Saccharomyces cerevisiae S288C: one gene and its partners. The gene in region 2 interacts genetically with the main gene of each other region. Each region holds a gene or a part of one and is shown on either strand. Other genes may lie near its edges.

Region 1 (4,880 bases), 270 kb from region 2:
TTATTAAATAATAACAAGCTTCACTAATCTAGCGTTCATACAACATACAAATCAGTGTGTTGAAAATTATTATTCTCTGATATTCTCTCCCTCCTTTTAAATTTTTAAAATGAATTGTATCCCTAGTCCAATTAGTGAAAGGAAAATCCAAATTAATAATGAAGATTGTATAGGCAAGGAAAATGCTTTCCATACCATTCCAAGAGAAAGTTCAATTAACTTGACACCTCACTCTACGAATGAAAAAAAAGTTCTATCCGAGGTAAACAGTAACAAAATCGATTCTTTACAACTCCCTCGAGGTAAATTGCAAAGAGATTCCACCCATTTGGAAAAAACAAGAAAGAGACAATTATCAAATGATTCAACCGATCCTATAGAGCCAAAAACTGTGAAAAAAATAAAATGTCATCAATGGAAAAATTTGGATTCGATAGAGATGGATGATCCATTCATGGTAGCAGAATATACAGATTCTATATTTTCTCATCTTTACGAGAAGGAAATCCAAATGCTACCGACACATAACTATTTAATGGACACGCAATCTCCCTATCATTTGAAAAGCTCCATGAGGGCGCTGTTAATTGACTGGTTGGTTGAAGTTCATGAGAAATTTCACTGCTTACCTGAAACATTATTTTTAGCGATCAACCTGCTAGATCGATTTTTATCACAAAATGTTGTTAAATTGAATAAATTACAACTACTATGCATCACTTGCCTGTTCATTGCCTGTAAATTTGAAGAAGTTAAATTACCAAAAATAACAAATTTTGCGTACGTGACTGACGGTGCTGCCACTGTCGAAGGAATTAGGAAGGCTGAGCTATTCGTTCTAAGTTCTTTAGGTTATAACATATCTCTACCAAACCCCCTAAATTTCATTAGGAGAATTTCAAAAGCTGACAATTACTGCATTGAAACAAGGAACATGGCCAAATTCATCATGGAATATTCGATTTGTTGTAATAAATTCATCCACCTGAAGCCATCATATTTAGCTGCAATGTCCATGTATATCGCCAGAAAAATTAAAAATGAAAATTCCAAATGGGATGAAACTTTTATTCATTATAGTGGCGGCATTGATATTGAATCAGATCCAGCGTTTAAGGATTTTATCAGTGAACTAGTTGAAGATATTGCTGTACCTGATACGAATCTAGATTCCTTGAGACTTAAATACAAAAAGCCTAAACATGGCATGGTTTATTTCAAGGTTTTTGACTGGTGTAAACAAAAACGTTGAAACATAGATCAAAATTATAGCCAGCTAACCCCCTGCATCTTAAATATCATCGATAGACATACTTCTTTATTTCTTTTATGTATTCAAAAAAAGAAAGAAAATGCATTATTCCTCACTTTAAAGATAATTTTCCAATTATGGGAGAAAAAATTTATAAATGAATTAATTATTACAGCCTACAAAACTGATACCGTGTGATAATATATATGAGATAACCGTTATATGAATAATGAATGCCTGATTTTTCTATAAAATAGATGATAAAGTAAGGAAGTGAGATTTTGGTTTTCTGTGTAGGCTAGCACCTTCACTCATGCAATGTCATAATATCATATCCATTTTTCCTTACCTTCAATGCCCATTCGATAGAAATTATGGAAGCCTTTAAAAATCTTCTCGATTGATATTTTTTCAAGAACTCGTCGTGAATAGTAGATCCAACAAGATAATCCATCAGTAATTGGCAAACGGGATATAGTTTTGCCTTTGTGTAACCACCACTATAATGGATTAAGTTGCCATCCCAGGTGCCCTTGCCCAGCATTTTTCTCGAAAGGAACATTGCCGCTGAGGCACATAATGACGGTAATATCCCGATGAACTTGAAGTCCACTATAGATATTTCCATTAGGAACTTCGCTAACGTCCTAGACTGGATATCATAGTCATCCGCTTTTGATATTCTCCTTAAGAAATTCATTGGGTTAGCGAAACTAATTTGAAAATCGAGTTTTTCCAATATAAATCTTTCACCCTCTTTAATATCTTCCACAGAGCATGCACCGTCTGTCTCGTACGCAAAATGTTTTATGCTAGGGGAGTATATTTCCTCATACTTAGATGCGATGAACAGGCATGATGTACCAACCAGTTGCAATCTATTTAACTGAACCACCTCTTCACAAAGAAATCTATCCATTATGTTTATGGCCAAATATAGAGTTTCCGGCAGAAGGCCAAACTTATTATGAATCTTGATTATCCAGTTCACCAAAATGTCTCTGTTTTGCTTAATATTTTTATGCTTATAGAGATTCGCCTTATTTGGCAATGTGATTATTTCCAAGTGATGCAAATAATCGAAGATATCATTAACCTCTTCGCTCACCATTAAGGGATCATCACAATCTTCTTCATCTAGGTCATCCCATTCGTACTCCTCCAGAACCTCTTCTTCTGTAGTCAATTCATGGAGTTTGAACTTTTTCTGGTCATCCTGCTCTACAAGAGTTGATATTGGCCTTTTTTTTTTGGAATCTTCTCTCATTATTTTTTTCTGCCATTCCATTTGAGTGGAAATAGACTTGTTCTCAGAGTATATCAACCGATTACAGCTCAAGGCAGTCGAATTCGTATGAAAAGAGTCATCATTTGAGCACTGCTGCTTTTCTTGCTCGGAATATCCATATTCAGGAATATTTTCCTTATTGTTTAGTACTTCTTGTTTCACCCCCTGTCTACTGTCATTAAAAGAGGAGGTGAAGTCATCGGCTCTCGAAACATCATCCTTTAAAGGAAAGAAGTTGTTCAATTTTGAGAAGTTCTTCATCCCAATTTTTCTGTTCATAGAAATCTCTTGCAGGATATTTGCATTATTTGTGACATTACCGAGAATGGTCCTTGGGACGTTTCTCTTTTGTAAGATATATTGACTTTCGTTTACCCCCTTCTCTTCATTACTATTAATGGTTCTACTATTCTCTACCAAAAGGGATCGTGACATTATGAGAAGATTAAAGCTTCCTTTGATGGTTGATATAACGGACGAAAATATTTTGGCTCTGTTCTTGTTGGTAGATCTTATTCTTAATTACGCTTTTGTGATCTAAACAGCTGCACCAGTTAGCAACTTTAATAGTTTTAAGAAACTATACCAAGAGCCACAAGTAAAACTGTCGCTGGAAAAACCGAAGACACTAAAATTGCAGCCTGCTCAAGTTTGGCCGAATGTAAAAAACACAATACAACCAAAATTGCCTAGAATAGATCACCCTAGTATCTTCTTCTTACACAGAAGTGCAATAACTTCTATTACTTAATATATATAACTACACGCCGTATTCATAAAAGAAGGATCAAACCCGTTTCTGCAGAGGAAGACGAATGAGGAAATCACAAACAAAACAAATTGGGCAGACCGTATGCGGAACGCAAATTGAAGTAATATGTTATGTACGTTCCGCACCTAACTTGCAGGATACCCATAAATGATGCTGTAAAAATGCAAGTTGAAAATGATTAATTAATACAACAAATTTAAAGTTACCGTTGACGTGAGTTTTATGGTGCTTCTATATTTTGTGTCCGCTTCTTGATTGTTGATGTTTTTCCTCTTTGGGCGGTTGTAAACAAAAGGTCGTGCCCGTTTTGTGAGAGCCCCTACTCGAAAACGGTAGTGAAAAACCGCCCAAATGATGCATCTAGTAAAGAAAACTAATTGAAGCGCGTCTGTGTGTGCCTGCTTCAAGAATGACACTGGGCATGCATAGCCTCGTTGAAAAGTCCACTTGCAATACGACGAAAGAGGAGCCAGTAGCACATAATTAATCGGAGGGAATCTCGATCGTGTCCTATTCAAATTTGGAAGAAACGCCTTTTTTAACAGAGCGGGCGGACTTTCAATAAAATTGGATGCAAAAAAAAAAAATGACTGAGTACAAGCGAAGCTTACTAAATAATTGGATAACACCATGAATGATATTATGGAGCAATTCGATAGTTCAAAAATTGACAAAGACAATGCTTTTACGCATCAATAAAAAATGCCGTAACTGTTGCAGTTTTCAGCGTTAGTTTCAATTTTAAGATTATTTTTACTATGAATAGAAGATAAATATTTTCATTTCCCCCCCAGTTGTTGTCATTATGAACATATAAAACATTCATTTACTCTTGTTTATTATCATTCATAGATCAAGAATATATGGTAAATAACGCAAGAAGCTCTTGGAACAATCGTAATGATAAAATAGAAAAGAACAATTGCGCTGTAAATTCTTACGTCCAAAACAATTGTAGTTTAATGCGGGTGAAAATACGTTAACATTAGGCTTGTTTCCAACGAGAACTGTGGCAAGGAAATGTAAACATTAGCATTGCAAAGTCTCTTGCCGAACCTATAGATTACCGATTGAACTTGGCTTGCTACGTATTTTCGAAGTAGTGGATATTTTCATCTTGATTGATTTCTGCTAAAATAACAATCAGTTATCTTCCGCATATTACTCATGCAACAAACTGAAGCTATTATTTACCTTACATCGAATTTTCAAGAAGCGATGATAAAAAATGGTGTGAAATTATATGACCTGAAGACCAGAATTAAACAATCATTGAACCTGACAGAAGCTGATGCACGAAAGTTGATACTTTAAAAAGTATTCTGCGTAAGAAAACCAAACTTAAATATTGCCTTCAAAATTAATTTGTATCAATTGCACGAACAGTTGATGGACTATTATGTCATGAAGAAGAACCGCTTCAATTGCCAATATACATAAAGCTAATAGCAATGATATAAATAGAATTTCGGAACCACCGTTAAGTCCTACTGGATTTTCTCGGTCTGAATAGAATGTTGGAACAGGTTGGTTGCCATTCCCTACATATGTAACTATGGTGATAATCT
Region 2 (5,178 bases):
TGTCTCGTCTGATGTTCCAGTCTGTGAAAAGCTCTATGACAGATAGGACAAGCATGTGGTCTTGGCGCCTCTGACTTCGCAGCTACTTTGGACTTGCTTTTACTCTCCTTCAATAGTGACCCATCATCAACGTTAGACACTTGTGTCATTGGATATGGGCTTTGCATGGCTATGGTAGTATGTCGTCTCCACTATACTCAACTCTCGTGTAGTTACAAGCGAGCTAGAATAAATGGCTCTCTTATCTTCGAAATGCTTTACCGGGCTTTCTTACTCTCCTTTGTCTTCGTTAATGAGTACTGGGGTGAAAAAAAAGGGTTATAATAAATAAATTATCCAAGAACGACTATTCTCTTTTCTTTTTTCTGCTTGCTCTTCCCCACTTTTCTCGTCCAGCCTGTTGTAAAAATTTGTTGTTGCTTCTTTCGTATTAGTTTTTCCGAAAGAAAGCGCCGCAGGGCCTTTACCATCACTCCAGGTTTTCCCGGAGTGGGGTGGCAGTCCGCAGTCTCTCGCGAAATCAAAGGCAACAAGCAGACACGTGGAGAAAAGCCAGGAGAACTCAAGAGCTCGAACAAGTATGCTAGCAACTAAACAAGCCGGCCTACGCCACTCTGGAGTTTCTCGCGGGGCCCGGCCGCTACAGGTTTCCTGAGAAGCCATTATAATGGCAACTACATTCATCAACACTCCATAAAATCCTATCGAGTTACACTGCTAGTGTCGCAATTGCGCTTTTCTGCTGCTTAATTGTGGGCCCCAAGCTCTTATCACTTGCTACCATCCTATAAACTGTATGGAATGCCATCACAACTTTCGGAAAAATAAAGCGCTTTTTTACGCTATCAGTGGAGATATTACGAATTAGGCACAGGGAAGAAATAGATAAAAAATTCATGGGGCCAACCCCAGACGTCAATCTTCTACACGTCAAGTTTTGAAAAAAATTAAATAAAAAATAAAAAAAAAAACCGGCGCGAAGGAAACGTGCTGGCTCGCTAACTTCTAGTCTTACTGTACTGACTACCTTCCAGTCCTACTGGTTATACTGCATTGTACGGCAACTTACACACCCCACGCACTTACTTTCCTCCACAATGCCATCTAGAAAAATCGATTACCCGCTAATTTTCCGGGAAAAAGTCGATTAATGTAGGTTAGTGGCAGCTATGCTAAGCAATGATAAAGGAACCATACACGATATTTCTACAGAAGGCTATTAAATAGGGTGAAATAGGATGAAGCAACAATCAAAAATTATGAAAGCATCCGTTTTCTCGCTATTCTAATAATGGGACAGAACTGCCAATTCTTGATCTGGTGATCCATACGATTAAAATAGGGGTTCATCGCATGGAAAGTCTGTAAATCACACTTGCCTACCATAAGGAAGTCATCAATTCCCGAATTTTAAACGGGTTTCTATGAGTATTTGGAGGATGTTCATTCTTGGTAACATTACTGATGACATTCAGTGATACACTGCCTTCAAGGAAACACACGCGATAGAGGCAAAACAATGTTGCAACGGCAATTAATTTCTGTCATTGTAATGAATTTCTGCTCGTTGCTTCTAACCATATCTTGTGTAACGCTTGCGTTGATATGCAAAAATAACGAGATGGAATTTGCTGCCCTCTTTCAGCCATATGATGGCGGCAAAAACTTTGAAATTTGTGCACAGGATATAATAAGCTACTTCTTGACTCTAACGCCGTACTACAGTTTACAAAAAATGTATACAAACTCTTAGGATTGGTCAAGAAAAGTAAATGTTGTACTGCTCCAAAGATATTGCGATGCCGTGATAATTCAAAAGGGTCGACCCAGTCTATTTCACTCGCGCGATAATCGTTCGTTATCCGAAGCTGGCCAATTGATACAATTAATTGACATCAGCAGACAGCAAATGCACTTGATATACGCAGCTTAAAGCAAGGGTAAATTATCTGAAAAAGGATTGAATACAATCAAAACCTTCACATACATTGGTAGTAATATCGAGCATCGCTATTAGCAGAGTATCTCGAAGTCTACCACGGCGAAAGTTGATTTTTTATCTGAGGTGCTGATCTTCGGACGCAATGCGCAAACGTAATTCCGTAGTTTTCCCAATTATTTTATTTTTTAAATTACACGTACCAGGTAGATCACATACATATACCCAACACCTGTTATATAGTGAATTGAATTATTCGGAACATCAATAATCCTTTGCTTATAATTCTTGTTATCATCCATCTTGCATCTTTATTTAATTATATTTTGCACAATAAGCTATCTATGTGAGCTGCGTACGGTGACTCCAAACAATCTGTTAATTTCCATATAAATAACTTGTAGTCGGATCGTACAATGGCTCTATATAGGTTTGGACCGGTATGTAACCTAATATGGCTGACTCAAAACCTGCTAGATAGTTATCCAAGTGAATTTGAGTCTCGTATCCTTTATCACATTTTTACAATAGTGGCTAGCTATCTTTTTCATGTTAGGCTCACCCGGTATTCTCATGCAAGATCAAACAAAAAATGGTAAAGTTTTGGACTTTACATTGCTTACAGTTGCTTTTTTATGAAGATTCAAAAGATTATGTCCTCGGCGGCTAAATTTTCCATTAATAATATTATCCTTTTACGCGACCGAAAAAGAGAAGCGTTTTAAGAGTTGTTTCTAACAAATATTAATAATAAAGCTAACGTGAACTGACCAGGCTCTATTTGAAAGATATGGCACCGAAAAAGAAATCAAACGATAGAGCCATTCAGGCAAAAGGCTCAGAAGGTTAAGTATTTTTTTACATGCTCATCAAATACCGCCATTACTAACAATTGTACCCCGGGTATTTTATCAGCTGAACAATTAATAGAAGATTACTTGGTGTCACAATATAAACCATTTTCTGTAAATGATATAGTTCAGAATTTGCACAATAAAGTGACAAAAACAACAGCAACCAAAGCATTAGAAAATCTCGTTAACGAGAAACGCATAGTGTCTAAAACCTTCGGAAAGATTATAATTTACTCTTGTAATGAACAAGATACAGCATTACCAAGCAATATTGATCCTTCTCAGTTTGATTTTGAAACTGTATTGCAACTGAGAAATGATTTAATAGAACTAGAGAGAGATAAATCAACGGCCAAAGACGCTCTTGACTCTGTAACTAAAGAACCTGAAAATGAAGATCTCCTAACAATCATTGAAAACGAAGAAAACGAGTTGAAAAAGATTGAATCAAAATTACAAAGTCTACAGGATGATTGGGATCCAGCAAATGATGAGATTGTCAAGCGGATAATGTCTGAAGATACGCTGCTACAAAAAGAAATCACGAAGAGATCAAAGATTTGCAAAAACCTAATTGCTACAATAAAGGACTCAGTGTGCCCGAAAAATATGAATGAATTTTTGGTATGTATTTTGAACATTTTTCGAGACCTTTTCTTTTGAATATACTAACGAAATCTTTACAGGAAGAAATTGGATTTGAGGACATTTGATGTGAAAAGCAATTGGTTGTTCCGTACCGGAACACTTGCTATTTTACTTATCATGATTGTTTTTTTTTCTTATTCTTTGCTATTATTATCAAATTATATATAGGTAAATAATCTTACACTAGTTTATAAGTGTCACGAACGATGAAATGGAAACTTGGGGGGGAAGGCTCAAAAAACATACTGTGTGTTTATGGGGCTGCCTTTGCTAGTTGTTGAGGGGTGAGAACCGCAATTACTGACAAACGTTACTGATTTGTAATATTCAAAAACTCCTTGCATTGCCTTCCCGTTGGCCAAAATAGTAGTCGTTGACAAAGAGTACGGCGTCGATTCTAAAGTTGGTGAGGGGATTTGCTCGCATATAGTTGTCAGTTCCTGTGCTAAAACTGAAGCAATAACAGAAAATATTGAAAAACAGCGAAGTAACTGCATCTTAATTGAAAATGTATGAAGTAGGTATAATATTTTGGCACACAAGTGACTGTTGAGAGCTTACAATCATTCTAGAATGAGGAATACGTCAAAATGGAAACTTAACATATCACCTCTTCTTACAACTATTTATATTGTATATTTACAAGGGAAATCAATTGCCTGATATTCAGTATATTGGATCTGAAGGTATGAAACAGTCCCTTAATTAAGCTTTAGATGCGGACAGAAGTTTTTTTGTTAAACTTGCATGTCAAATTTCAAACTGCGTGTAATTACCGTATTCGGAAATTACATGGTTTCAGTAATTTTGCAATAAACGCAGCAACCGGTGATGGCGAAGTTTTACCATCAAACAATAACTTATAATAACTGAATGCCGGCAGGTTGAAACAAATTCTTGAAAATTAGTCATTTATTCTATTGTGCGAATGTAATCCACTGAAATCATCTAAAGCACCATTACCATTGTCTAGCCTGTGAATAAAAAAATATGGGAGTATAATGATAGAGAAGTGGATGGTAGATTATACCTCGCGAATGAATTATACAGAAAATAATACTAAATTGAAATATTTAAAAATGATTTAAAAGAAAAATATTCATTGTACATAATAAGTTCGAGCATAAATCTTAACGAGAAGTAGCAGCAACCTTTTGGAAAGCACCCTTAGCTTGTTGCTTGGAGAACTTAGAACTTTGAGTACCAGCAGACTTAGCCTTTTCAGCCTTTCTAGCAGCCTTTTCAGCCTTCTTCTTTTCTTTGTTGGCCTTCAATTTTTCTTCTCTGTTAGCCTTTCTAACTTCTGGCTTCAAAGATCTTCTTTCCTTGATCAAGTCCAAAGAAGCACCGGTAATTGGTCTTTGGGCCTTAACGGTTTTTCTAGATCTCTTCTTAGCAACTTCTTCGGTGATACCCTTCTTGTGATGCTTTCTGAATAAGACAGTCCAAGCGATTCTTCTTGGGTTCTTTCTTTGCTTGAACAAAGAGGCAGATTTGGAGTTTTGGAATCTGAAGATTTTGGAGTCACCACGGACAAACAAGGTACCTCTGCCTGGGTAGATTTTGGCACCTGAAAAAGAATCGATTTCAACCTTCATTTTATCACTATATTAATCCACGTTTTTCAAACATATTTGAAAAAAAAAATGTTAGTAAGTCTATGCTTTTCATAGGTAGCCATCTTGTCAATATAAATAATGGTAATCCGCATGGTTGTTCAGGCGTTCGCAAAATTGT
Region 3 (5,774 bases), on a different chromosome or scaffold from region 2:
TAGTTCTATTCCTTTGTTGACGCATTGATAATGTTAATTTATTGAATGGTAACGTTATGCCATTGATAGGGAGCATATAAGTTTATATGTATTAGGACAGTTCTAATTGTTTATTATTAATCTAACGGTAGTTTCAAGCAGTATCTTACATCACTGCAGCTTCTGAGTGTCTAAATGATAAACTGCATAAAAAATAGCCGCGCAAGCTCGCCATCACTGTAAATGAAATTTAGACGCAAAACATAACCGCGGATGTAAACTTACTTAATAAGAGCGATTGGCAAAAGAGCCACAAAAAAAAATTGGATCAATATCTGGTGCATGGGTCTAAAAAAATTAAGCAAAACCACAACACCACGCGTTATGACAGCAGTTTTAGAGACTGTTTCTTTCTCTTCTATTGTATGAAGTAATCAGATTATTATATTGAGTAAGTACATGAATGTAATATTTAAATTGTATTTAACGATAGATGCACCAAAAAAAAAGAAAGTTACAGTAAGAGACTTCTTGTCGATTCGTTATTCCATGCCATACAGGTTAGCCTCAAATTAATTAATTCTTAAAATTCAGTAAACATTCTGGAATCCAAAAAAGTAACAAGTTCGTCGAATATCTCATCAATTATAGTGAGTTGTACACTCAACCCACCTCCAAAAAACCACAAAAATTAAGTGACTTCAATCATTTAATTCATTTTTTGAAAAATTGACATCATTGAGTATTTCTACGCATTTGTTCTCTGTTTTTGGCAACCGAAAATCCCTTGTAAAGAATCCATTAAAATTAATAAAGGAGATGTATGAATTCACCGAATGGAAAAACCGACCAAAGCACAAACACCTACTGTCTTCTATCCCTCCTTTCGATTGTTTAGATGAGCTTACCAACGTTTATATTATTTGCAATCGATTTCATCACTAAACTCAATTAAAATAATCATTCGAACTTCATTTTTTGAGAAATATTAAAAAATAAGCTGTTGTTTGTAAATATAGAAAAAAAACAATGCTCGAAGAGCACCAATAGTAAATTTTTTAATATACCTTTAACGCAAACGACGAGCTTCACGTTCAGATTCCATCAAGACCAAAATGTCGTTTTCTCTAACTGGACCCTTGACATTTCTGACAATGGTACGGGAAGTGTCTTCCAAGAACTCAACACGAACTTGGGTAACACCACCACGAGAACCGGTACGGCCTAAAACTTTGATGACTTTAGCTAAGGTGACTGGGGTCTTAGAATCCATTTTTGCTGCTCTTTTATGCTTTGCTTATTTTTTATTAATGATCAAAGAAGAAGAACTACCGGGATCTAGAAATATTTAATTGAGGAAGACCAAAAGTGCTATGGAGCAAAAAAGATCCAAGTTTCCTGGAAAACAGATGAAAAAAAAAAAATTGTCAAAAGTTGCGTGATCATTTTGTACGAAATAAGTGTCGATTGCCAGAGTACTAGCTCTGCGAGAAAAAAAAGATTCGAACATGAATAAGCTTGCCTATATTACTTTTATTAGCCATCTTAAATCTAAAAAGAATTGCGTATATGTATACTATTTATCTCTTGTTGTTATCAAATTTTCTTGTCCTAATAGCATGAACGAGCTGATCTTCCGGGAGATTCATCATGTCTTTGATCTCGCCCATGAATTTAAGCATCTCATTGGTATCATTCTGGAAATTATCTTGTAATTCGGAGAATAGTTTTTGGTATTTTTCGGACAACTCTTTTAAGATTTTCTTATTTAACTCTTGGTTTATTATCGAAATTTTTCTTACCAATTCGTTAGAAAAATGATTTATTGAACTATAAATTTGTTCTTGAAGTTTGTTTGTGAAAGTATTCTGACCAGGAGCAGATAATCCATGGGGTGACTGCAAGTCGATAACAGTGGTAGATTCCAAAATATCTGTAATGTTACAATTGTTACAGTCTTTGTCTGGGGGGGTATGTTTTTCTACTACACTTGAATCAACAAAAGTTTCGTTGTTTTTTTTGGACTCGAGAGATACTTTAGCGTCATCCTTAGTAATTTCTTTGCCTTCATTGACATCTGGAAAGCACTTTTCTTTAGTTGCTCTGCTCATTGCTTGTTCATCGTTGCTACGCACAGTTTGATCATCAACTTTCTCTGCCGCTGTTTCTGGGCTTGATTTTTCCCCTGTAACTTTCTTATCGGTACGCAGCTTACTTACTTTTATGGATTTGGGTTTTGTCGGAGCGTTTGACCTAAGGTTTCGTTTATCTTGGGAAGGGACATCGATAATGGGCTTAAAGTTTGTCAACTTTTTCTGCTGCTTCTTTTTCTCCTTTTTGTGGAATTGTTTTTGCTTCTTGGACGGAGGTTGCCCAAATATAGTGTCGAGAATGTTGATATCCCTTTTCTTAATGGAAGAATTTGACTTTAATTCGGTTATTCCGACTACCGTTTGATCAATATTAGGCTTTTCCTTAGGATTAACAAGACAGGATTTACCTACAACTAACGAGGATGTATTTACAAACGGGTTTTGTATTTGTTCGGACTGGTCTTCTTTGTTTTGTACATCCTTATCTTTAAACTCTTGTCTCAATATTTCTAGTGTTTTCGTAGATTCTCTTCTCATTTTTCTCATCTGAGCGGATACTACTGGTGACTGGTCTTCTGAATCAATATGGACGTAGTCTGTTTGCCTTTTTGTTTCCTTAGTGCTGCTTATTTTCAGGTCTGCAAGAACATTACCTTCTTCGTCTTCAGTATTTGACTTTAAATCCCATTCATCAGATCTTATGGAAACAGAACGGTCGGGAGTGACTAACTGAACCTTTTCGTTATGATTATGGGGAATAGATGATTTTATTGGATATACCATGGGAGTGGATAATTCATCGAGAGATTCTTCCTCTTCATCCTCTTTCTGCTCATCTGCCCTTCCGATTTGCTCTTCTTCTTCACCTTCATTCTCTGGTTCTTCTTCAATATAGTCTAAAACTAAAAAGTTTTGTACTTCACTAATCTTAGGTATATTGTTGACATTGTGAAAAAAAGTTTCACCTAATTTCTCGTCTTCAAATTCCAGCTGAAACCCCTTCGTTTTGTTAAATAAGAGTGCTGTTTTATCAGCGGTAGTTCTCACACATTCATGGAAAGGTTGCCTCAATTTAATTTGAATTTTATTTTTTAAGTTTTTGGTAATCCTGATTTTCTTTCTTTCAAATTCCAAAGGGGCTTTTTCGTCTAACCAAAGATAGATTTTGTTGTAAATGCACTGAATGAAGTAAGAATTTTCATCGTCTTTTTTCTTAAATATACGGAGATTTTTTAATGTTTCAGATCCGCTATAAGAAACCTGCCTTAGAATACCCGTAAAGGATAAAGTTGACATGAAATTATTGCACAGGAATTGGCAGGTTTGTAAGCTCCCATTTTTGCTGCTAAAAGGGTAAAATTCATTTTCAAAGAAAAACTTGTTCTTAGACCTGCTTTGCCATAACTGAGGTATTTTTTCCACTTTCTTGGAATTTGAAGCACTTTTTTTAAAACAGTTAGAGAGAATTTCCACCAGAAAATTTCCTTGTTGCAAATCTTGAATATTATCAAACAACTGACCAATCTTTTTGGCATGTTCTGTCTCGATCAGGTTAGTTATAATCTTTTTGGATTGAGGGACACTGCTGAGGATGCTGCTAATAACGGCCAAGCATTTCCAACTGACTGGATTTTCCATTGCGATGCCAGTCTCAAGTAAATAATTTAAAACTTTGGAGTCTTCGTCTATATTAATCTCAGAAGAAAATCTTAATTTTAAAATGAAATGCCAGATATCATCACTTGGAAGATTTGAATCGGTGATTTTAACGGCAACATTTATGATGTGAAATAACAACTCAAAATTTTGAATTACTTCTCTCTTTATTACTAGCAAATGGAGAAATTCCTGCAGTTGTTTAGAAGTTTCCAAAGTCATTAACCCATAGTGGATTCCTTTCGTTTCATTCCTAGTCTGTGCTAAGTCATTTTTCAGGCAAACACCAAAAATCTTTTTCTTCAAACCTTCCATTCTTATCACCGTATTTGCTGTCCCTTTGTGGTCCTCACTGATTAAAAAATCTTTGTTCTATTTTTCTTATTACCTTTAATGCTTCACGAATGATGTGAATGTTTTGCGAATGATGTGATTGAATCCATCTGATCCTGCTGCGAAATCGTAGTTTATTTAGCCGCTGAACCCTTTGAGCAAGTATTTATCGTTTTTAACGTTGAAAAAGTAGTCATATTCAAATTATATAAACCAGCCAATAATACGTTACTTTGCCTTTTTAGATCACACAATTAAGCGGATACAAGATCACCCATCATAAAGGGTTGGCAAACGCCATTGTTTTTGTCGAACCTTACCTGATATCTCCAGAAATCCAATGTATATCTTCTGTATGAAAATATGAATTGTGAGTGCACATGCCTTTTCTAACAGGGAAACCTGTTGTGATTTGTCATTGAATGTGATGAAAAGCTCCTCCAGTCGCCTCGGCTTGGCTTGGCTTGTCTTGGCTTTTTTGGTTTATTCTTTCTGTCCTGAGATAAAAATTGTAGTAAATCTATACTTCTGGAAGTTTCCCGCGACGAAAATGAACGAGGAAAATAAAAAATTTCATGTTTAAAATCCTGTAATTGATTGCTCTTCCACGCACAGTAAGTTGCAAAACCAGAAGAATAACTGAAAAACCCTAAGCAATCATGTCTAGTCGCCAAGGTGGTAAGATGAAGCCTCTAAAGCAAAAGAAGAAGCAACAACAGGACTTAGATCCTGAAGACATTGCCTTCAAAGAGAAGCAAAAGGCCGATGCTGCTGCTAAGAAAGCTTTGATGGCTAATATGAAAAGTGGTAAACCTTTAGTGGGTGGTGGTATCAAAAAATCTGGTAAGAAATAAAAGGCCTTTAACAACGTCTAATAAAAATTTACTCAGTATTTTCTAGTTCTCGTTTTTTAAGTAAATACATATATTACCAAAGAAAAGCTATTTGCAAGATATATCGTTCTTTCCGATGTTTTACAATCGTAATTACTATGTATAATGGTTACATCTAGCAAATTTGGAGGTTTCCTAAATAAAGCCCCTTGCGTGTCTCTCTAGAGGTACGAAAACAACTGATATATAATGGACCCTTTTCTATTGTGGTGACAGGCATAAGGATAAATATTTATAGATGGCTAAGGAAAATAAGAAAAATACTTCTCCCTATTCATGAACCGGGCATCTTGAGTAGAATAGGGTGCTTCTATTCGTTAGTGCTGGTATTAACTTCTAGTGAAAAATGGCCGAATAATTTCCGGGTAATAAAGCCTTCAGCACAGCTCAATTAGTGGAGGAAAATATTGCCCATATATAGATTGTTACTATGTATGATGTAAGAATATCACAATTGGGCACTTAAGGTTGTGTGAAAAGAAGTGTTTGAAGCTGTTGATTCTGAACAGTAAAAGATAAACAAAGAAGAGATTAACAATGAGCAGATCCGGGAAATCATTGACAAAGTACAAAATTGTTTTTTTGGGAGAACAGGGTGTTGGAAAAACATCGCTGATCACTAGATTTATGTATGATACGTTCGATGATCATTACCAAGCCACGATTGGTATAGATTTTCTTTCCAAGACCATGTATTTGGATGATAAGACAATTAGATTACAGTTATGGGATACAGCAGGTCAGGAAAGATTTAGATCATTAATACCTTCATATATCAGAGATTCGAGAGTTGCTATTATCGTTTACGACATTACGAAGA

What was found. A genetic interaction does not mean that the proteins touch.
Region 1: of HOP2 (region 2) and CLB1, extra expression of one rescues a mutant of the other (dosage rescue), as found in Saccharomyces cerevisiae (one study listed by BioGRID).
Region 3: of HOP2 (region 2) and RED1, extra expression of one rescues a mutant of the other (dosage rescue), as found in Saccharomyces cerevisiae (one study listed by BioGRID).

The regions. Positions count from the first base shown.
Region 1 is NC_001139.9:701,731-706,610, reverse strand, and holds CLB1 (B-type cyclin CLB1), read right to left. Parts: upstream 2,976-4,880; coding exon 1,560-2,975; downstream 1-1,559. Other genes in the region: B-type cyclin CLB6, read left to right, coding at 110-1,252. UniProt on the Saccharomyces cerevisiae protein: Essential for the control of the cell cycle at the G2/M (mitosis) transition. Interacts with the CDC2 protein kinase to form MPF. G2/M cyclins accumulate steadily during G2 and are abruptly destroyed at mitosis.
Region 2 is NC_001139.9:432,896-438,073, forward strand, and holds HOP2 (Hop2p), read left to right. Parts: upstream 1-2,729; coding exon 2,730-2,784; intron 2,785-2,854; coding exon 2,855-3,417; intron 3,418-3,479; coding exon 3,480-3,506; downstream 3,507-5,178. Other genes in the region: transcription factor MIG1, read right to left, coding at 1-167; YGL034C (uncharacterized protein), read right to left, coding at 319-684; AGA2 (Aga2p), read right to left, coding at 3,675-3,938; 60S ribosomal protein eL24 RPL24A, read right to left, coding at 4,572-5,039. UniProt on the Saccharomyces cerevisiae protein: Required for proper homologous chromosome pairing and efficient cross-over and intragenic recombination during meiosis. Stimulates DMC1-dependent homologous strand assimilation required for the resolution of meiotic double-strand breaks.
Region 3 is NC_001144.5:668,609-674,382, reverse strand, and holds RED1 (Red1p), read right to left. Parts: upstream 4,044-5,774; coding exon 1,560-4,043; downstream 1-1,559. Other genes in the region: YLR264C-A (uncharacterized protein), read left to right, coding at 439-555; 40S ribosomal protein eS28 RPS28B, read right to left, coding at 1,049-1,252; TMA7 (Tma7p), read left to right, coding at 4,721-4,915; Rab family GTPase YPT6, read left to right, coding at 5,492-5,774.